4 linked regions of the Caenorhabditis elegans genome follow. The protein of the gene in region 3 purifies or fractionates together with the protein of the main gene of each other region. This does not show direct contact. Each region holds a gene or a part of one and is shown on either strand. Other genes may lie near its edges. The genes, in order: ppat-1, ipp-5, kgb-1 and try-14.

Evidence for each region.
Region 1: the proteins of kgb-1 (region 3) and ppat-1 fractionate together in Caenorhabditis elegans (co-fractionation; one large-scale study listed by BioGRID). This does not show direct contact.
Region 2: the proteins of kgb-1 (region 3) and ipp-5 fractionate together in Caenorhabditis elegans (co-fractionation; one large-scale study listed by BioGRID). This does not show direct contact.
Region 4: the proteins of kgb-1 (region 3) and try-14 fractionate together in Caenorhabditis elegans (co-fractionation; one large-scale study listed by BioGRID). This does not show direct contact.

The regions. Positions count from the first base shown.
Region 1 is NC_003281.10:4,687,655-4,692,720, reverse strand, and holds ppat-1 (Amidophosphoribosyltransferase), read right to left. Parts: upstream 3,442-5,066; 5' UTR 3,377-3,441; coding exon 3,288-3,376; intron 3,088-3,287; exon of another isoform or gene 2,950-3,087; intron 2,664-2,949; coding exon 2,258-2,663; intron 2,212-2,257; coding exon 1,951-2,211; intron 1,716-1,950; coding exon 1,406-1,715; intron 1,358-1,405; coding exon 1,242-1,357; intron 947-1,241; coding exon 782-946; intron 738-781; coding exon 642-737; 3' UTR 550-641; downstream 1-549. Other genes in the region: nifk-1 (RRM domain-containing protein), read left to right, coding at 1-358, 403-492; tag-243 (Costars domain-containing protein), read left to right, coding at 4,511-4,540.
Region 2 is NC_003284.9:6,029,773-6,035,020, forward strand, and holds ipp-5 (putative type I inositol 1,4,5-trisphosphate 5-phosphatase), read left to right. Parts: upstream 1-1,696; 5' UTR 1,697-1,699; coding exon 1,700-1,792; intron 1,793-2,151; coding exon 2,152-2,331; intron 2,332-2,382; coding exon 2,383-2,609; intron 2,610-2,656; coding exon 2,657-2,720; intron 2,721-2,764; coding exon 2,765-2,908; intron 2,909-2,957; coding exon 2,958-3,139; intron 3,140-3,193; coding exon 3,194-3,506; intron 3,507-4,238; coding exon 4,239-4,265; 3' UTR 4,266-4,711; downstream 4,712-5,248. Other genes in the region: hsp-25 (SHSP domain-containing protein), read right to left, coding at 4,975-5,085, 5,208-5,248.
Region 3 is NC_003282.8:405,118-411,748, reverse strand, and holds kgb-1 (GLH-binding kinase 1), read left to right. Parts: upstream 1-1,715; 5' UTR 1,716-1,792; intron 1,793-1,876; exon of another isoform or gene 1,877-1,987; intron 1,988-2,852; 5' UTR 2,853-2,862; coding exon 2,863-2,928; intron 2,929-2,971; coding exon 2,972-3,063; intron 3,064-3,713; coding exon 3,714-3,843; intron 3,844-3,886; coding exon 3,887-4,002; intron 4,003-4,710; coding exon 4,711-4,795; intron 4,796-4,844; coding exon 4,845-5,016; intron 5,017-5,185; coding exon 5,186-5,446; intron 5,447-5,492; coding exon 5,493-5,599; intron 5,600-5,657; coding exon 5,658-5,801; 3' UTR 5,802-6,128; downstream 6,129-6,631. UniProt on the Caenorhabditis elegans protein: Mitogen-activated protein kinase which is an essential component of the JNK pathway composed of mlk-1, mek-1 and kgb-1.
Region 4 is NC_003284.9:7,493,187-7,497,508, reverse strand, and holds try-14 (Peptidase S1 domain-containing protein), read left to right. Parts: upstream 1-1,917; 5' UTR 1,918-1,944; coding exon 1,945-2,043; intron 2,044-2,088; coding exon 2,089-2,195; intron 2,196-2,479; coding exon 2,480-2,606; intron 2,607-2,658; coding exon 2,659-2,803; intron 2,804-2,854; coding exon 2,855-2,970; intron 2,971-3,056; coding exon 3,057-3,149; intron 3,150-3,194; coding exon 3,195-3,248; intron 3,249-3,476; coding exon 3,477-3,575; 3' UTR 3,576-3,785; downstream 3,786-4,322. Other genes in the region: uggt-1 (UDP-Glucose Glycoprotein glucosylTransferase), read left to right, coding at 20-538, 591-1,335, 1,413-1,580.

The sequences.
Region 1 (5,066 bases), on a different chromosome or scaffold from region 3:
CAACAAAACTTTGAAGAAGCTGCAGAATATGGGGATCAACTATGATTTCTCTGTGTCTGGAACACCAAGAACGCCACTTAAGAAGGTCATTGACAATGAGGTTCAATTTATCAGTGATGTCACCCCGAAAAGCACGACTCCGAAAATTGTGAAAGCTGCAACTCCAAAAGCAGCTACTCCAAAGGCCGTGACTCCAAAACAAGCAACTCCGAAAGTTTCCACTCCAGTCACCAAAAAGGTTGTCATCAAGACTCCTAAAACTGAAAAGCCGGAACCCAAACAGTTCACTCCAAAAACTCGCGCAGGAAAGAAGGCAGCTGCTGCTGCTACTCCACAGGCTAAATCTACGCTATCCAACGTACGAAAAACTTTAAATAAAATTTGGTTATATTAATTTTCCAGACAATCCTCAAATCCGTCGCTGCAAGTGCCCGTCCAGCTGCTGTCGAAAAGAAAACATTGAGATCTCGTGGAAAGAAGAAGAGCTTGTAAGCGTCCTGATTTCTGTTGTTAATCATTTTATTTTTTTTCCGCAAACTGTTGTTGTTCTTATTTTTATACACATTCATTGTTGATTTTTAATTGAATTGATTTTGTTTTTCATGAATACAAATAATCTATTCAAACTTTTCAAACACTAATTATAAATCGATAGCAACTGGATATTTTCCAGTGAGACATGCGGTGCAATGTCCTGGAGAGAAGTTGGCAGCTCGTTCGATTCCTTTTTGAACAGACTGAAAAAAAATTAAATTGAGGAGAAAGTGAGGTTCAAACTCACCGAAACTAAACCGTCAACCGAAAGATACCGTACTGAATCGGCTCCAACAAATTGGCAGATTTCTGGAATTGTTTTTTCGGCAGCAATCAATTCCTTTGTGGTTGGAATGTTGATTCCCATAAAACATGGGAATTTTACAGGCGGGGAAGCAATTCGTAGATGAACCTTTAAATTTAGAGGTATTATTTGAATAATGCGGTCTTGACACGATCGAAATTTCTAAGATACCGTACTCTACCGTATACTCCAGTTTCTCGTTTTTATGTATTCCGCTATTGTTTTCTTAATATTTGCTGAACATCTAGATGCACAGTTTTACAACAAATATATGTATTGGAAAAATCTGCAAAAACGGAGAATTACTCGCGTTATACGGTAGCTGAAAATTTTTGCTCGTGTCAAGACCTTTTTCACGGTTTATAAGGTGAAAAATCATTATTTTTAACAACAAGGGTAATACCTCTTTTGCTCCAGCATCTCTTAACATTTTTACCAAAGTTCTCATCGTATTTCCACGTACAATTGAATCATCTACTAACACAATCCTTTGTCCATGAATCTTTTTCTTCAATACTCCTGAAATAGAATTCATGAAGTCTTTCTAAATAGTTTTCTTTATTTTACCAAATTTCATTTTAATCGCATTTTGTCTCATCTCATCATTTGGTTCTATAAATGATCTTCCAACATATGAATTTCTGTGTAAAACAGGTTCATATGTGATTCCAGACTGAGAAGCGTATCCAATTGCTGCACTCAGCGAAGAATCTGGAACATTTCCAACAATATCTGCTTCTAGATCATCTTCAAGAGCCATCGTTTTTCCACATTCTTCACGAACAGTTTGTACTTGTTGTCCTTCAATTTCTGAATCATTTCGTGCAAAATAGACATATTCGAATATGCACATAGCCAGAGGAGTATTCGGTTTCATCTGAAATGACTCATATAATTCCAGGTTTCTGATTTTTCAGCATAGCCCATCTGTCTCGATTGTAATTTTGGAAAATACCAAAAATAACCAGAAAGTCTAAAAACTACATGTATTTGCAAAACTTTAAAAACACTTTTTTAAATTTTAATGTCTAACAAAATACATACATGAGAAAATGAGGTCAGAGAAGGCGGTAGGTAGGCGCGTAGGCAGGCCAAGATATATGTAAGTTTACCTGCCACACCGACTTGATTCCTCCTGTCGATAATTCCACAATTTCTCCTGGTCTCACTTCGAAATCTAATTTAGCATTTGCAGGAAATGCACAAGATTCAGAAGATGCAATGAATGCTTCTGGATTTCCATTTTTAGAATATACAGTACCAACACAAAGTGGACGATTTCCAAATGGATCACGAATTGCGTATAGTCTATCAAATGTCATTACTAGTAGAGAATATGACATGTTTAGTGCAGACATTGTTACTGCGAGCTCCTGAAGTTTTTTGGTTTAAGAATTTTCATGTTTTTCAAAAACTCACTCTTGTAATATCACCCATCTCTTGTCCATACTTGCATTTTACATTCAGAGCAATCGCTTTTGCAATCATTTGAGCAATAAGCTCTGAGTCAGTGTCAGTTGATAAACCAACACCTTCATGAAGTACTTCCTTTCTTTTTTGTTTCGCATCAACCAATTCTCCATTATGAGCAATTGCTACAGTACCCATTGCAGTATATACCACAAATGGTTGTACACAATTGATTCCAGACTTCTTCTTTCCTGCAGTTGAATACCTATTATGACCAATTATTATCGATTGCCCATTCATTCTTGAGATATTATCTTCAGTAATCACATCTCGGACAAGTCCATGACCTTTGATAATTTCCACGTGGTCTCGAGTGATTCCATCTGAACCAACGAGTCCTGTTGATTCAGTTCCTCTGCAAAATATACATGATAAGAATTGCAAATTTGCAACTAATTTGTTTTAGTATTTTATTTTTCTATCACGCACGGAAAACAATTTAGAAACTAGACAATATTTGCAAGAAATGCTAGACTTATTCATTTAGCTATTTCGATTTTTTGCAAACTCAAAATCACTGCACAATCTACTTGTTTGCAACAATGTCAACCACTGCAACGCTACAAGCACTTTATTGGTCGTGTGTCCGAGTGGTTAGCGCTGTTTGCTGTGACCCACGAGACGCCAGTTCAATCTCTACATACGCGTCATTTTCATCCAATTGGCAACGTGATTCTAATGTTGGCGATTCAGCGTATTTCTGACGCAAAATTGATAACTTCTCCATTGACGTCTAGTCAGACTAAACTGGCTCGGATACAATTAGGGAGTTTACACTTTTGCCTTCTTGTGGAACGATGGCTTAAGTTAAGCAGAAGCGGAATGAACGGGAAGAGAAAACGAGAGCTTTTTGAAAAATTAGATATTTAGGAATGAGGAGCTGAACAGTTAAAAATTCAAACTGAAACCAATGTAGGAGATGTATGAAATCAAACTTTTTGAGACAGAGCTTATTAAAAATTTAAACTTAAAACCCCACCTGTGTTGAAGAGCAGCCAATCCATTTGCAGCAAGAACATTCAAATGCTCATAATTTCCAGCGGCAACAATCCCAAATATACCACACATTGTTCGGTGTGATCGTCGTCAGAAATCAATTGCCTAATGTGCATGTTATTATCTTTTTCGATGCTCTGAATGTTTGATACGCCAATCATAAAACCTTTACACCCTCCACCTGCTATGTTTTTAAAGTTATTGCCTATTTTTCATGGAAAAGTTCACTTCTGTCGATAGAGCCAGGTTTTTGAACTTTTTCCGCTGATAAGAACAAGTGAATGTCTAATTGAAGTTTGATTTTAAAAGGAGTTTTTAGGTTTAATTGAAAATAAACACGTTGCTCGGGAATACGATAACTATAAGATGTGAATGAAATAAAACTTAACCTGGCGCGAGAGCTAAAATCTTCGGCTTTCAGAATCTGTAATTTACTTTCGCAGCAGATGCATGGAAATCTGGAGAGTTTAATTTTAAAATGTAATACTGAATCTAATGAAATTCCTGTTTGAAAAAGGTTTGTGAGTATGTTATCAAACTTTTGCAACTTTCTGACAACATTTTTCTGTAAAATTTTTTTTTTTCTGCCAACTTCAATTTATTTGAGCAGATTTTTTTAGAGTGTCATGTTGTGTCTAGAAAGTAGATATTGTTGTCACTTGGACTCCGTAGAGCCCGTCCGTCCCAACTTTGCGGATGTATGTGCTTGGTCAGGTTCACCCACGTCAACAGTTATCAACTGTCAATATGGACTTCGAAAATATTCTTTACATACTTTCCTGTTAATATCTGAATTGGTAAAATGGTTTTCGTTCTTTGAAATTCCAACACAATTCAAAAATCAAAATATCCCTCTGTTTGTTATTGAACATTGACCACCCAGTTGTATTTACAAGTTGACATTAGGTTTTTGAATTTCAAAAAATTTCCGAACAACTTCGCTTTTCTCCATTTTACTTGAGCTCCCTGTCAAAAATAGCCTTTCTGTATGTGTGTGCATTGTTTTATATTTGAACAGCGAAATTGCACGTGAGACGAAGAGACGCAGACAGCAAAGATTGTCGCGAAAATGAGCGCCCACTTACTTTTTGGCTAAACTTATCAAAATTGCTCAAAAAATAAGGAGACAGTCAAGGATATATCTTTTGAAAGTTAAGCACACATATCTGAAATTTGTTTTACTGAAAAAAGAAGTTGCTCAAGAAAATGCCAAGTCAATCAGTGGAAGAACAAAATGTAAGTTTAATCCATTTTTATATTCGTTTAGATTTTTGTAAATTAGAAAATATTAAAGGTACATAGGTGAACTTGAAAATTATTTTTGAAGAAAGTTTTGAACGTTTATAAAAGTGACTCACAAAACTATTAAGTAGTTTTGAGTATTTGCTCAATTTTGTGGTGACTTATATGTCACATATTTAATCAAGATTCAACCACTCATATTAATGGGAAAAGTATTCTAGTTTAGAAGTAGTTTTTAAATTTTTTTTTAAATTCTATGCTTCCTTGCCGCAAAAATCTTTGCTATGGGTTTCATCAATAGTGGTTTCTTAAATTTTTCCGACGCTTGATTTCCCATTTGTTAGGTCTATACATTTTTCTTGAATTTTATTATAATTTCTCTAGCTCTGCTTTAAAAAAAAAGTAGTCCAAATCAGGCGGACAAGTTCACCCGACAGCCTTCCTCGCTGTTTTCAACCCGATATCTGCCTACTGGCCTACTGGTGTGCACATAGTTTCAGACTAGATGCGCGTAATAAAT
Region 2 (5,248 bases), on a different chromosome or scaffold from region 3:
TAATAGCTCAAAAGTAGCAAGTGAACAGTTTGCCTGATTAAACATCTGTTTTTATCAAAAATACAATTTAAAGTTTTAATTTAAATTTTAAAAAATATTTATTATTAAACAAAATTCTAAAAAGTTTTTTTTTCACAAAGCTAGTAAATGTTCAGAATTATTTTTTCCCTTCTTGTAAACTGGCAAATTTTTAATACTGAAATATACCGCAAAAACCTGAAACTCAGAAATGTTCTTAATGGAAACCTGAACAGCTTGCTAATTAAAATACATATTTTTGGCCAATTGATGTTGGCTATTAACCCTTACACTTTTTTCTAAGAAATAACAAGTGTTTTGTCCGTTGACAATTTTACAATAAATCCAACGAGGAAATACTAAAAAAAGTTCAATTTAACATTTAACCATTCAATGACGTTTTTTTTGTTTGAAACCTTAAGTGGATGTTGCTCTTGAGAAAGAAGAGCCCATCGAAATCTAGAATAAGCTCAAATTCTCATAAAAAACGAGACGTCTACTGCCTTGCACAAGATTATCGAATTGCTGGAGGGAAACCTCACAATACGACAAACCGAGATGTTGACAATTTTGTCATCCGAGCAAAAAAAAAAGAGGGAAAAATGCCATCAAATATTTGCCACTTGGCGCTCGACTCGTTAAACATTGTTTAATTTTTTTTCAAAAAATGTTCGAACTTTCATTGACCCATTTTCAAAACTTTAATTTTCTTAAGGAACAATATAAATTTAATTTTTCTACCAAGTGTGTAGAAATGTGATGCTGGGAGAAATCGAAAATTCAAATCATGTGTTGTTGTTCTTTCTTCTCATGCCGAGCAGCTTGCAATTTTCGGGCGAAAGCCCTCTCCACTTTTTCTCTAAAACTATTCGCTTTTTCTCTATATATGTAGCTCGTGCTCATGCATAATTTCGTCGTGTGTCGATTTTGTTTTCCGACGTTTTTGCACTCCGAGTTAAGTCACTAAGCTCCCAAGTTAATTTGTTTTTGATATAACCTTTTGAATAAAGACAATTTAAATTCTAAAAAAACTGAAAAAAAAACCGAAAAAAGAAACAACTAAGTTAGCAGTAAATTGGATTCTGTCATTTCAATTTACATTGTTGTTGGTTTAGTTGCATTCCAGTACGAAAAAAAAGGCGGCAAGACGCAATTTATTTCTAGGAGGTTTTGAATTTTGACCTGGGCCCGCCTCAATACCCGAAACCCGTTTTTCAAAGAGGTTTCCTTACAAGGTAGAAATATATCATTACACATCGTCCTTGGGCAATGCTATTCGTTTGTTTGCGGATAGAATTTTTTACTATTTTCAAGCAACTTAATTTCATTAGAAAAAAAAGTAAGTCAATTGATTTACAGATAATTTGAATGATTGACATTTTGTTCCTTGTTTAGCATTTTCTCACTAAAATTACTGAGCATTATTCAATAAAAAGTTTCTGCAGCACTCACTGAATGCACAATTCATCAAAGAGCAAACACAATAGCGTGCATTTATATCTTTTGTTTTTATCCATCTCAATGAATTCCTTTCCGTTTTGAAATTAAATCTCGCTGTCACATATTGCACATCCCACAACCCTAACTTCGTTTTATTGTTATATAACTTTCTCGTTTTCTCTTGCTCAAGCTCTTGTTCTAAACACTCGACTTTTCAATCGAACTGTTACTATTGTAGAAAATGGTTCAATATTTGCTGATAACGGCGAACGTCGGATCGCTGTTCGAGCCGGATGCTCGGTTGCACACTTCATGGATTAAAACTGTTGCGGATGTATGTTTAAATATTTTTGCAGTATTAAATTTAATAGTTCATAGCGAACTCACGCAATGTCTCATAGTCAGATTTTTGGTTCAGAATTACATAGTTTTTTACAAATGAATTAGTCCTATGTTTTGCGAATGTGATTTATTAATTCAAATACAAGTGTGAAAGCCAAAATTATTGAATTACATTTGAATTGGCTCCATCGATATTTTGGTTATTTAGTAACATTTTCGCATTGATGCTTCTTTTACTTGACCCTTACCGTCAGTACTTTCCTGATACGATTTTCTTAAAAATATGTTTCCAAGAAACATTGAAATTACTCAAGTAATAAATTTGATACAAGTAATTTTTAAAATTTTTAGCAAGTTGAAAGTGTTGACCCATCGTTCTTTGTCATACATCTTCAAGAAACCGGAGGAAAAAAATTTACTGAATGCTCACAGCAAGTCCCAATTATCATCAATCGTCTCTCCACAGCACTACCAAAATTTGATCTGCTCAGAGCATACGTTGACATCGATTATGAAGCTATTGAGTACACAGTAAGAATGACAATAAAATCGTTGTTTCTGAAAATTTATTCTTTGTTTCAGGCTCTTGGAGCATTGTGCTTTATAAAAAGATCCTTGTGGTCGAACGTTTCTCAATTCAACTTTCACACAAAGAAATACGAACAATTGACAAGCCCGAAGGAAGTAGTGACTCATGGGCTGGAAAACTACCCATACGTCGTCAAACACAAGTTTCCTAAAGATTTTTGGCCTTCTATCAAATGGGGACGTAAAGGATACATGCAAACAAGGTGGAAAATTGAAAACAAGTTAGTCCCAGTTTTCTTTTTTTTTTTTTAGTAAATTCCTTTTTCAGAGTTTTCGATTTTGTTAACGCACATCTCTTTCACGACGAATCTAACTTGGCCCTTATTCATGAGGTTTGTTTGAAAGAAAATGTTCAGAGCATATAAGGTGTTTTCAGAACCCACAACTATACAGCCAAAACCGGAAACGAGCACTTGACTTTGTGCTCGCCGAGCTTTCGTCAAAGGAAAACGGGTGCACGCCTCTGCTCTTTGTTTTTGGTGATCTCAATTTTAGGCTGGACTCTCGTTCTTTCTTAAACGTAATGGGTGACAAATTGCTAATTGGAAAACAAATAAAGATGTTTTCAGCGCTTAACTGAACGTACTGCTCAACATCCAGTCGCCGACCAAGAGCAGATGGGCTCCCTGGCCGATGGTCTTCAGGCTTCGGCTGCAAATCTTCAAGTAATCACCCACCCATCCGAAAATTTGAGGAGGACAGTTTCGGCTATTGAGTTCCGCAGAGAATCGGATAGCGATGATAGTCAAAAGTATGATTATTGAAAGTACAAACTTAAACAAGAACCAAAGAATTAAAATTTCAGCAGTTGTGTTCTACGGATCGAAAAAAAGAAATTTGACTATTTCAATCACAAAAAACTACTGGACGACTGGCGATCGTACAGAGATGACGACAAAGAAACCGAAAACTTTCAGAGCATGTTTGAGATGCATATAAATTTCCCTCCAACATACCCGTGGAGTGAAGATCCAGAAAATTCCGAAACTCTGATGAAGACTAGGGCACCCGCATGGTGTGATCGGGTTCTGATGAATAAAAATGCATACTCGTTGGTGGAAGAAGGAGAGCCTCAGTATAGGTCATTTGGAATGGAAACTTGTACTGGAGATCATAAGGTAATATTCTAATTTTTGGAATATTTTTATTAAAATACTATATTTAACAATGACATAATTTAGTGTAGTTTTATGTAGTGAGAGACAAATATCTTTTTTTAACAGATTTTTTGGTTTTTTTTTAACTCAGATTTTATAATTAAAAAAAATGCTTTGAAAAGGTTTTGAAAATCTTCACAAATGATTGAAACTTCTCAAATTAACTCATTTTTATTCAAGATTTGTCAGTTTGTCGTTGACTAGTTGACTAGAAAACGTTGACTGGAAGCTGTGAAAAAGAAATGGGAAAATTCATGTCAAATTTTTATTAAGAATTCGAGTGAATTTAATTTGATATTATATTCAGACTATTTTCAACAACTTGTTGTTGCTATAAAAATAATTCCTTAAAAAAACTTTATTTAAAAAATTTGAAATTTTTTTTTAAACAGTATATCAAAATAGCTTGAACAGCATTAAATAATACTATTTTTAAACTTTTTCAAAGAATTATTCAGAATTACAAAATAAAAGTTAACTTGTGTTCAAATTGAAAACAACTTTCCTGAATACTTGAATATCAAAAAAAAACATGTTTTAAATATAATTTTGAATAGCTTTATGATGATTACATTGGATTAATATGTTAAAAAAAAACTACACTAAGACCTCGTTTTAGTTTTTATTTTAAATAATCTTTTGAATTCTAAAACTCTTTAATCAACAAAAAAATTTGAATTATTATTTTTTCAGCCGGTCATGCTAACATTCAACATCTGACATGGTTTTCCATTTTCCCTCATTTTGGCCAGCCTCCATTTTTCTTTTTTTTTTTCTTCATCTCGAAGCTACGGATAAACATTTTCAAATTGGCTTGCGCGAACTCTGAGTTTCGAATACCTACTTTTTGTTCTCGTTGTTACTATCAATTTTCAAACTCTATCAAAATTCCATTTTTTCCCAGTTCGCTTTTTTCCGCTAGAAAATTTATTTTTTCATTGAATGATCAGAAACGTGTTTCTTTTCTTTTTTCTTTTTATTTTCATATAATGCACGGGGAACTCTTTAACTTTTTAAAACAATTTTTATCATAATCGATTTTTTGTTTCTTTTTCTCTCCATTTTCAGTGATGTATTGCTAGTCTTATACACTTTTTGCTTTGCCTGACACTTTCCATCAGTATCAATCAATTGTTAAAACGAATCATTTGATAAAATTGCGATCTTATTATAGATTTAATGAAAAGATGAACATTTACTCCAGAAAATTGATGAACAACCAATAAGATTTGTAGGTATTAAATGTATTGAAAAATGAAGCGGATTGAATTGGAAAATGAATCGTAAACATGTTTAAAGAAAGGATTATGGTTGAGTCTACAAGTTTTAATGATTTACACTACAAGAAAAAGTTGATTTATTAGAAAAATGTAAAGTTTTTGTTGCGTTATTCGGGTTGGTGAGGAAGCAGGCGGCGATATTTTTGGTTTCATTGCTGGATTGCCAATTGTGGGAGTGGAGCCTCGACAGTGAGCACGCCATCAGTCGAAAGAGTCGATGAGATTTGTTCTGGGTTGGTGCCTCTTGGAAGAAGGAATTCCTGGAAATTTGATTGTATAGATTAATGCAACTGAATGAAGAGTGACACCTTGGGGCCTCGCTCCATATTTTTAGCCCCAAGAGAACTGTTTGAATTCTAAAATAAAAATAAAAAACACCCACCTGGTTGTACTCTCTGAAAACGGTGCGTTGTGGGGTCTTCT
Region 3 (6,631 bases):
TTGTTACGAAAATATTTCACAATTCTCGGAAGAAAACGAGATGATTGTGGTTATTGGGTAAGTGTTCAAAGAATATACATAGAAGTTCCAAATTTAAAGGTGGAGTAGCGTCTGTAAGTTTTTTGCCATAAATGACAGAATAGAGACCCAATATACTAAATATAACTGTTAAAAAATGTAGAAAATGTATGAAATTTTTCTAATTTTTTAATGATTTTTTTCTTAATTTTACAAAAATTTAAAAAAAAGGACTGAATTAAATTTGAACTCCCGCGCAAATGAGTGACGTCATTTTCGAAACTTTTGCGTTTTCAGCCTATATTAATAGGTTTTTCTTCATTTTTCCTTTGTTTTATAATTTGAAATACAGTCTGTCAATTTTTCAGACTAAAAGAAAATGTATGATTAATTTTGAATAATTAAGCCAATTTCAGAGTTTCGGTAAGTTTCTTCGCAATTATCAAGTTTGAAAAATGTTTGAAAAATTGAAAAATTATGTTTCAAATTATAAAACTAATTGTAAGAATAAAGAAAAACCAATTAGTTTGGCCGTAAAACACAAAATGTCGAGAATGACGCCATTAATTTGTGCGAGAATTCAAATTTAAATCGGCCTTTTTGAAAAAATCATAAAAAATTTATTATTATTTTTTGATTTTTTAACAGTTATATTTGGTAAATTGGGACTGTATTCTGTCATTTATGGCAAAAAAACCACTACTTCACCTTATAATTTAAAATTATCCAACTCACTATCTCTGTGTTTCATTTTAGCATCGAGTTATCACTTCCGATGACTAACAAATGGGAAATCTAAGGAATAATGCAGAGATTGAAAAGAATTAGAGAAACAAACAGACAAAATCAAGTATTATTTAACAATTGTAAAGAACAACCAAAAAACCCCACAGGAAAGACCACACAGAATGTGGACCCACGACTTTGGGAGATTAGGCACCTACGAGATTTCATGGCCCAAGTTAATTGGGTAGCGCTTTGAGTTGTCATAAATGTTAATAATTGAGAAAAAGATATTTAAAACTTAAAACGTACATATTAAACTTATTTCTTATAGAATTTACTTTCAAAGCTTTTATTATAGGCGGTCGATTTGTTCTACGGCAACTCTATTCTCCAAAACAGAGTGGTGTCTCTTTTCTGTCTGATTCTCTACTTCTCTACACATTTTCAATCCTAGGTGTGTCTCTCTCTGAAGGATGAAATCTCTATTTCTCTGCATCTCCTATTTGGCTTCAGCCTATCGCTTCTCTTCCGCACACAAACATTCACTCAGTGACGTAACTTTTAATACCTACACTATTTCTCTCTTTCGCATTGTCAACTTATATATATATATATGTATATAGATCATTCCTGTACTATTTAATTTTTAATTATAACTTTTTAAAAAGGTTATTTATGATTTAAAAAAAACAAAATCTAAAGTGTCTTTAAAGTGTAAAAGTAAAAATTGGCAGGCTGGGTATACTGCCTTTTTTCTTCAAGTTTTCGAATCTAAGTAAAAATAAAAAATTTCCCCTGCTTTTTTAATACAATTTTAGTTTGAATTTTACTTGTTGAGAATAATAGACTTCAATTATCTCGATGCAGTATTATGTATTTCACTAATAATTAACAGCAAATACCTCAAAATTACCCCGAACTCGAACTATTGCTAGAATAAACCATTCGAGTAACCCGTGTATTTATTGTAGAGTTCGTGAGAAAAGGATTAAAGGATTAAAGGACGATCCGTTCTTCAAGCGCTATGCACTGCGGATCTGGGAGTCAGGTACACTGCCTGGTGGTGATCCCACTAAAAAAGTAATTAGAGTATTATAGAAAAAATACGATCGCCCAAAAATAAACAACGGCGCAACGACACTCCGCTGTTTCTGAGACCCGCCCACGATTTCATTTGCACTGCGGCCGACACATTTCAGTGCAAATGAAATCTTGGGCGGGGTTTAGAAACGGTGGAGTGTCATTGCGTCGTTGTTTATTTTTGTACGATCGTATTTTTTCTATAATAAAGGTTTAAAAAAAAGAAACACACTATTGGATGTTACATTCCAGTCAACTTGATACCTAAAATATTTAAATTTTCCATTGAAATTAGTGTTGACTTTTGTTTCCTAAATACGAACATCCTTTCAAAACCAAGCGCAAAAAGTGTAAGATCATTCACAACTGAAGTCAAATTTTTGAAGTGTGAACATTTTTTGCGTCATGCAAATATGAAATATGAGTTTATGAGTCGATTAAAAAACATAAAAACCCAAACAAAAACGCTGAAATTTCATTAAATGTTAAAAAATGACTTCTTTATTACAAATCCAAAGTTATGATTAAACATTTAAAGATTAGCTGCAAAGATTATTTATTAAACTACATATCTTTCTATTTTTAGTCTATTTTTTAAACATTGTCAGGTTTAGTTTGCACTTCAAAAAATGAAAACTGTATTTCACTAACAATATGTACATATATCCCCTCCCTCATTTTTTTTCACTCCAGAAATGGAAAGTCAATATTTGGAAAGAAAATAATTTTCCAAACTGTTAGAATCTCCGTTTTTAAGATTTATTGATTTCTACGTGGGTTGAAATGACTCAGTTTTGATGAAACTCAACAATTTTAAGGCATTTTTATCAGTTCCGGTTGGAAAGGAAAATCAGAAACATTTTTGCAAGTGATAAGAATTATGAAATTTTTATAGATTTTTTCAAACGTTTATTTGGAAATTGAAATTATACTTTTAAAAATTTAAGAAAAGCTGAAATTTAATGACTAACGTTTATATTTAATTTTTGAATTTTAAGTATTTCTCCCTGAAACTAATAACTTTTTAGGCACAATAAGATGGAAGTGGATCTGCCGGTACATAACGAGTATGATGCGTCTAGATTTCATCAAGTTACAATTAGGGTTTGTTACTAGATACTTTACCTCCATTCAAATTCATTTTCAGGACCCGATAGCCGGCGCGGACAGCACTTTCACTATTCCAACTCGTTATGTAAACCTTAGTTTTCTGAATGCCGGCGCCCAAGGAACTGTCGTGTGAGTTTTTACTAATTACATTAATATTTTATTGAAGGAAAAATAATAGGGCGAATTTTTTAACGCAGTAAACAAAAAATTTCAATAGACAAACAAATATTAACACTTCAAAGATGTTAATCAAAGATTTGATAGATTGCCAAATTTTCGAATAATTTTTACTTTTTCAAACATTTCACACTTTACTGCAAATTATAGCCCCAATAATGTTCAAATACCAAAAGATAAAATAAATTTTTTGAAAGAACTATGAATTTTAGTCATTTTAGAAACATATGGCTGGTTTCAGAGAATCCTTTCTCTGGTCGTACTCCATCTTTGAATGTCTCACTGCCTTTCAATTGTATATTTTTACACTTTAACTTTTCTTCGGTTTTGCGTAATTTCAAACACTGACACAATGATGACTTCCCGAAAAAAAACGGACCGCCCTATCAAAAAACTTTTAAAACAGGTAGAGGTCTCGAGATCATTGTTATTCGTCATTGCCCGCTGCTCCACCTCTAAGATTGAAAAAGCTTGAAAAAATCAATAATCAAGAAGATCTTCTAGAAGAATGAAAGTGACTGAAATTAAATTATCGCGCAAATGACTTCAAACAGAATTTCTAAGTTAAGTGAACAGCCATAATTTTTATTGATTACATTTAGAATGGCCGATGACCTAGTAACAACGCAACGTGTGGCAATCAAGAAGATGCAACAACCATTTGTGATGACAATGAGCGCAAAGCGAGCATATCGAGAGTTTATACTGCTAACGACTATCAAACACCCAAATGTAAGATTCAGTTGGAATCTAGAAAAAATGCTCCAAATTTCAGATAATCCGTCTACTAAACGCGTTTACACCGGACACTTCACTTTCAACGTTCCGAGAAGTATATCTAGTTATGGAATTAATGACACACAATTTGCACGAGGTTATACATCGATTAAGGTAAGAGACATGGTGGCTGATTTTTATGATTTTTTTTCAGTAATACCAATTTTTATAGTAATATCTAGTATACTAGACGTAATTTAAACTGTATATGATGGACTTGTTAGAGACTAATAGACGTAAAATATTATTTTTCTGTTATTGATTTTGAGAACAAAAGAATAAAAATAAAACAATAGGAAAAGCACGATATCTTAAAGAAGGAGTGGCGGATTCATTTTTGCTCTAATAAACTCAGAACGACTCCAAAATATCAACCTTTTTTGTCTCAATTTCACGTTTAATAAACATATTCAACAATAATAATAAGTTTATTGCTGACACTTTTCAACAAAAAAAACTTTTAAAAAAAGAAAGAAACAAGGGCAAAAGCTAGACTTTCAATTTTGCCGTCTTTCGCGTTTCCCAAGGTCGGAAATACATTTTTATCCAACCTTGAGTACCCACTTGGAAATGTGCCGAAACCATCATCAAAACACGCACAGTTAGCTACCAGAACACGCGTAAAAAAATAAAAAAAATATTCCAGCGTGTTTTGAAAATTTTTGGTCAAGATTTTAGTTAACTACCAAAAATCAGAATTTTTAAAAAAGTTTAGAACACTTGCACATTTGAGCTCCTATTCATGATTGTTCAATGATTCAATGATTGAATATTGAATATAAACACATAATTAGATTCTAAAAAAATTTTCTGAATTATTAGATTGGACCATAAAACATTATCATTCTTCGTCTACCAGAGTTTGTGCGCAATCAAGCATCTTCACAATTCGGGAGTCATTCATCGTGTACGTATCTACCACTATAGACAACATTCTGAAAAATTCAAAGTTTCAGGACTTAAAACCATCGAATATTGTCGTCAACGATCGATGTGTATTAAAAGTTTTAGACTTTGGATTGGCCCGGAAGAAGAATGTGGACACATCGATGAGAATGTCAGATTATGTGGTGACAAGATACTACAGAGCCCCCGAAGTTATATTAGGTCTTCCCTATTCGGAAAAAGGTTTGTTCGAAAAAAAAAAAAATTTTTGTAATTTTGGGCTGGACTTCCATCTGCGCTCCGGTGAGCCGCCTCAAACAGCCTCACGCCGTACGTATCCGCATGTAAAGTGCGCGTAAAACCCCAAACGTGTCGGCCGCTTCCAAACAACACTCTCAATTCATAATTGCAGTAGATATTTGGTCAGTCGGATGTATATTTGCTGAAATGATCAACCATACCGTACTTTTCCCTGGAAAAGATCGAATTGATCAATGGACTAAAATTTATAGTGTTTTGGGAACACCAGATGATCATTTCATTAGTCAATTGGGTCAGTCAGCTGCTATGTATGTTCGATCGTTGCCACGTCATCAGGCACGAGCATTCAGTGAAATCGTTCCTGATACCAATTTTCTGCCGGAGACTGAAAATCCAAGGGTCCATTTGACACGTGAGTCAGGCTATACAGGATTTTGAAAAATAAATCATATTTTCAGCACACGTGGCTCGTGATCTCCTGTTCAATATGTTGAAAATCAATCCTGAAGAAAGGTATTCAGTTGAAGATGCACTGAATCATCCATATGTTAAGTTGTGGTTTAAGGTACAACAATTTTAGCACTAAACAAAAACAATCAAATCATGCATCTCAAATCTTACAGGACGATGAGGTAAACGCCCCCGCATCAGAAAATCGATACGATCAGGAAATTGATTTTGCCGATAAGACACTTATTGAATGGAAAGAGCTAATTTTCAACGAAGTGCAACGCTATCAAGCCGACCACGACATTTTCACTGGATAATAAATAATAAAAAACCTAAAATTGTTTCTTTTTCTCTCAAAAATAATTGTGTTACTTTTTTCTTCAAAAATCTATCTTTCAGTTGTGTTCTGTCACTTAGTTGGCCATATTTTCTGGTGATTCTCTGCTTATTTTCTATATTGATTATAATCACTAAATGTTAATTATTTTGGAATACAGATTTTTTGGAACTGTTTTGTTTTAAGTATAAGAAATTGAACCTTAGCTCCACAAAATTTGCATCTCATTATAAAGTAGGGATTGTTTTTCGATTGTATTGTCAGGTTTAAATTCAAAATTCTAAATCAATAAATTAATTTTTTAGGGACCAGGTCCCCTATGAGGTCGCCACAGCGGCGCCCGCGCCGGCCTCACAGCGTCAATCACAGTGCATGTATCCGAATATATAGTGCGGCAGGGAACCCGATCGTGAAGTCCGCGCCTCACTTAGCTGGGAGACCTATAGGTTTTTTTTCTTCAAAACGATGCTTTAATTTTTGTTCTCAAAAACAAAATGAAGCCAAAATGGGAATCCAGAACGACCGGACATTAAATCACACAGATGGACAATGGTGGTCTTGAATAAGTACATTTATTTCACAAAAATTGAACATTCAGTAAAAGATGAGGTTTGAAGACTGAAAAGTGGGCTGGACAACAGAAAATCGACTTTTGGGTAGTAAAAGATTTTTGATATAAAGATGGGAAATAAAGTATATGGACATTTGGACAAAAAGAGAAACAGAGACGCCTTGAAATGTTTTCAAATGATTCTTTTAGTATTCTATTCTAGAATTAAGAAAAGCGGATGGAAAATATTTTTTTGGAAT
Region 4 (4,322 bases), on a different chromosome or scaffold from region 3:
TTCAATTTCACAATTTCAGGTTCGATAATCTTCCCAGTAAGCAACTTCTGACACTTTCGCTGCAAGCTCCCGACTCATGGATAGTGGAAGCCGTTTCTGCCAAGTATGATTTGGATAACATCAAGATGGAACAAGCCAACGGAGATGTCACTGCCGAGTTTGCACTCCAACACTTACTTCTCGATGGACAGTGTTTCGACGAAGTTAGTGGTCAACCACCACGCGGTCTGCAGTTCACTTTGGGAACGGACAAGAACCCTAAACAATTTGATACAATCGTTATGGCTAATTTAGGATATTTCCAACTTAAAGCAAATCCTGGTGCTTGGAAACTAGAGATCCGTGATGGAAAATCTAGTGAGATTTACAAGATTGGATCGCATGTTGGAGCGGAGAAGATTGGGGAGGATGTGCTTCAAGTTGTTATTGACTCATTCACTGGTAAATCAGTAAGAGTTCGTGTTGAAAAACGTGAAGGCATGGAGGAGAGAAATCTTCTTTCCGACGATGAAGAAGGTGTTTGGAGCAGTCTTAGCAAGTAAGCATTTTGTTTAAACTCTTTTGAAATAATCTCATAATGTTATTTTCAGCTTGGTGAGCAGCAAAGAAAAAACCCAGGAAGTGATCAATGTATTTTCTCTCGCATCCGGTCACTTGTACGAACGGTTCATGAGAATCATGATTGTCTCGGTCATGAAGAACACGAAGCATCCAGTTAAATTCTGGCTTCTCAAGAACTACCTGTCGCCACAATTCAAAGAGACACTTCCAACTCTTGCCAAGCACTATGGTTTCGAGTATGAACTGATCGAGTACAAGTGGCCAAGGTGGCTTCACCAGCAGAAGGAGAAACAACGTATTATGTGGGGATTCAAGATTCTTTTCCTTGATGTACTCTTCCCACTTGATGTTCAAAAGGTGATCTTTGTGGACGCTGACCAGGTGGTGCGTGCTGATTTGATGGAGCTGATGAAGTTTGATCTTGGAAATGCGCCATACGGATATGTGCCATTCTGTGAAAGTAGAAAGGAGATGGACGGATTCCGATTCTGGAAGCAAGGATATTGGGCGAACCATCTCGCTGGGAGAAGATATCACATTAGTGCTCTCTACGTTATTGATCTTCAAAAGTTCCGTCAAATCGCTGCCGGAGATCGTCTTCGTGGACAATATCAAGGACTATCTGGCGATCCAAACAGTCTGGCTAACTTGGATCAAGACTTGCCAAATAACATGATCCATCAGGTTAAGATCAAATCGCTTCCACAAGAGTGGCTTTGGTGTGAGACTTGGTGCGATGATGGAAGCAAGAAGAATGCAAAGACTATTGACTTGGTAAGTTGATTGAACACAACTGAAATGCTGTGCCATTGATCTGTTTTAAATTTCCGTGAACAATTAACAATTTTCAGTGCAACAACCCGCTCACAAAAGAGCCAAAGCTCGACTCAGCCGCCAGAATTATTGGAGAATGGAAAACGTATGATGACGAAATCCGGGAAGTCATTTCTGGACATTCTTCTGATAACCCTTCGGATAATGTCATTTCTGAAAATGATGACTCTCACACGGAACTTTAAATTAATCTTTTCATATGCCAAGTTTACCCGTTATTTATTGAAAATGTTTCCAATCACCATTATGATATTCAAAACTCTGGGTATATTTTTTTCCAAATCAGTCGATTCGCTTTTTCTGCTATTTATTTTTTAGCTTTTGACTATGAGAGCTTTCAAAATTTCATTTTCAAATATTGTCAAACTTGTGATGAATCTTTGAAACATTTTTTTGCCTCTCTCTATCCAATAAATATTTTCTTTTTCTTGATGTGTGGGTGTATTAAAGAATGCATTTGCTTGATTTTTCTGAAAGCGGATATTACAACAATATCAATGCGATGCTCGTCGGGTCAAATCCTCATTCGAATCATTTGATCGAAAGAAGATGTTTCGAGCGGTCATCGTTTCCTCTCTACTTGCATTCGTGTTTTCAATGTACATTGCGGACCCGGCAAAATGGGAACGCCATCAGTACTTGGTGAAGGTAAGACTTGCTCAACTCGCTTCGAATTTTATGTTTTATGTTCAGGTACTCACTAAGGATACCAAACTGAAGAATATCTCAACTTGCACGGGAACTCTTTTGTCTCCATCCGTTGTGCTAACCAGCTCGAAATGTTTCCCAGACACCAGAAAGTATGGTTTCAAATTTTTAAATATTCCCGTAGCAAAATAAGAAGCTTACGAACGAACATAGCGCATTATAGTCTCTTACATTTTACACTTTTTCTGCTCTGAATTCGACTACGCAAAAGATTCGTGAATTGGCTTGTTGTGCGGAATGTGCTGACAATTTTCGATTGAAAACTTAGACGAAACTATGCCAGAGATAGTTTATAGAAATATATGTATAGCAACTGTTGGTTTAGAAGAAACGCTGAAATGGATTTTTATTTGAAGGCAATTTAATATTTATTTAGGAACCTTATTGCACAAGCTATTATCAAAAAGAAGGATTCCTCTGCTACCATGAACAAAGCAATGCTTGCTGTGAAAATTGACGGCGACTTGGCTCTGATGAAAATCGATGCGGTTAATGAAGATCATGTAAAAAAGACTCTAGTATTTGCAACTCTTATTAGAGAAATTATTTTTATAGTTTTGCGATAAGGAGCCACACCCACCAAGAGTTGCACGGCTCAACTTCAAACCAAGCTTGACTGATGCTACTTACCGTACAATTGTGCCAAGGGATCTTCAAGATTCCAAATGTAGAGTGATTGGATTTGAAACTACGGAAGATGGTTCGTAACTACAAAACTATGTAGCTACTAAATAAGTTATTATATTTTTAGTGGAAGACTTCGCTACTTCACACAAAGTCCAAGTATTGGATCTTGATGTTCACGCTGACACAGAAAATCTCATGTTCTCAGAAGTTAACAGTAACTCTACAGGTCGTGTTTGCTGGGTAAGCGTTTTTGTTGTTTTTTGGAAATACACACTTTCAAACTTTGCATTACTTAGTTTTTATAAAAAGTAATTGTTCAAATTCAGGATGATATAGGAGCACCACTGGAATGTGTTCTGGATGTAGAAAACAATAAATATGTTCAAGTAGGAATTGTTTCTGGTCTCTACGGGCGTGAGGTAGGCTTATCGCTTATTTTGTCTTTAAACTTATGATTTTTATAGATGGACAAGGAAGACAACAGCACAATGGTGGTTGTCAACTGCTCAGAAGTTCAGGTAAAATCAACGAGCAATTATTCTGAATACATTACGTAATAGAAATTCTTTATAAAAAACCGCATTTTGTAGTGTTGAGAATCTTATCAGACAACAAAATACGCCGGTGATTGATTTCTCATCTTTTGGACTTTCGGGAGGAAATATGAGATTAAAAGAAACGGGGGGCAAGGGGCAAAGTAAATAATCTTCTCCATTATGTGGATTTCCAATATTATCAATTTCCAGACCATGCAATTTGTTGTCTTTAGCGACAATACATTTGTCCATGCTATTGAGAATGTGGACAAGGCTAGCGTTTTTGAAGCACAGGACAAATGCTTCTAATTTAAATTCCACTTTTTCATTCTTCATTCCCTTTGAAATAAATGTTTTTATGATGCAATAAACACTTGTTGGTCCCTTATAACGTATTGATTTTCGTGTGCACATTTTGTGTTTGCTCTGTACTTCTATTCTTACGTTTGCATCTTTCATTCTATCCTTTGGTTTCAATTAAAATTGTTGCAAAAACCTAAATGAACATCGGTCTTTTTCAAGAATCTTTTAGTGTAATAATTGTGTTTGAAAATCAATCAGATGTTTGTTGCAGAAAAAATGAAAAAGAAACATTCTATTTTTTTGAAACAACGAACTTCTCATTACTTCGAATGTTTTATATTTCGGTACTTGTGTAGTACATACCTAGCCCAAAAATGTTAACCATTTTGAAAATGTGTCCGTGACCCTTTGTGTTCATATTATCCTCGGGATCAGTGTTTTTTGAGCATGGAAATACAAATCAATTTCAGTTTTTAATTAAATAATTGTTTTATAAAGAAATGAACGGAAAATGTATTGCAAAATGTTTTTGAACCTGGTATACTTCACAATTACCAAAATTTTACCCAAAAAACTAAGTAAACGTAGAAAATAAATAAGTGTTTAGCTTATTCTAATTAATGAGTTGTCTGTTCAAAAATTCTTTGAAGCCGTGCGTTTTGATGTCTGCTCTTTTGAACTCTATGCTACAACTATACACGTTCTGTGTTGCCATAGAAAATGAATTTCCCATTGGTTTCGCCCATTTCCTCA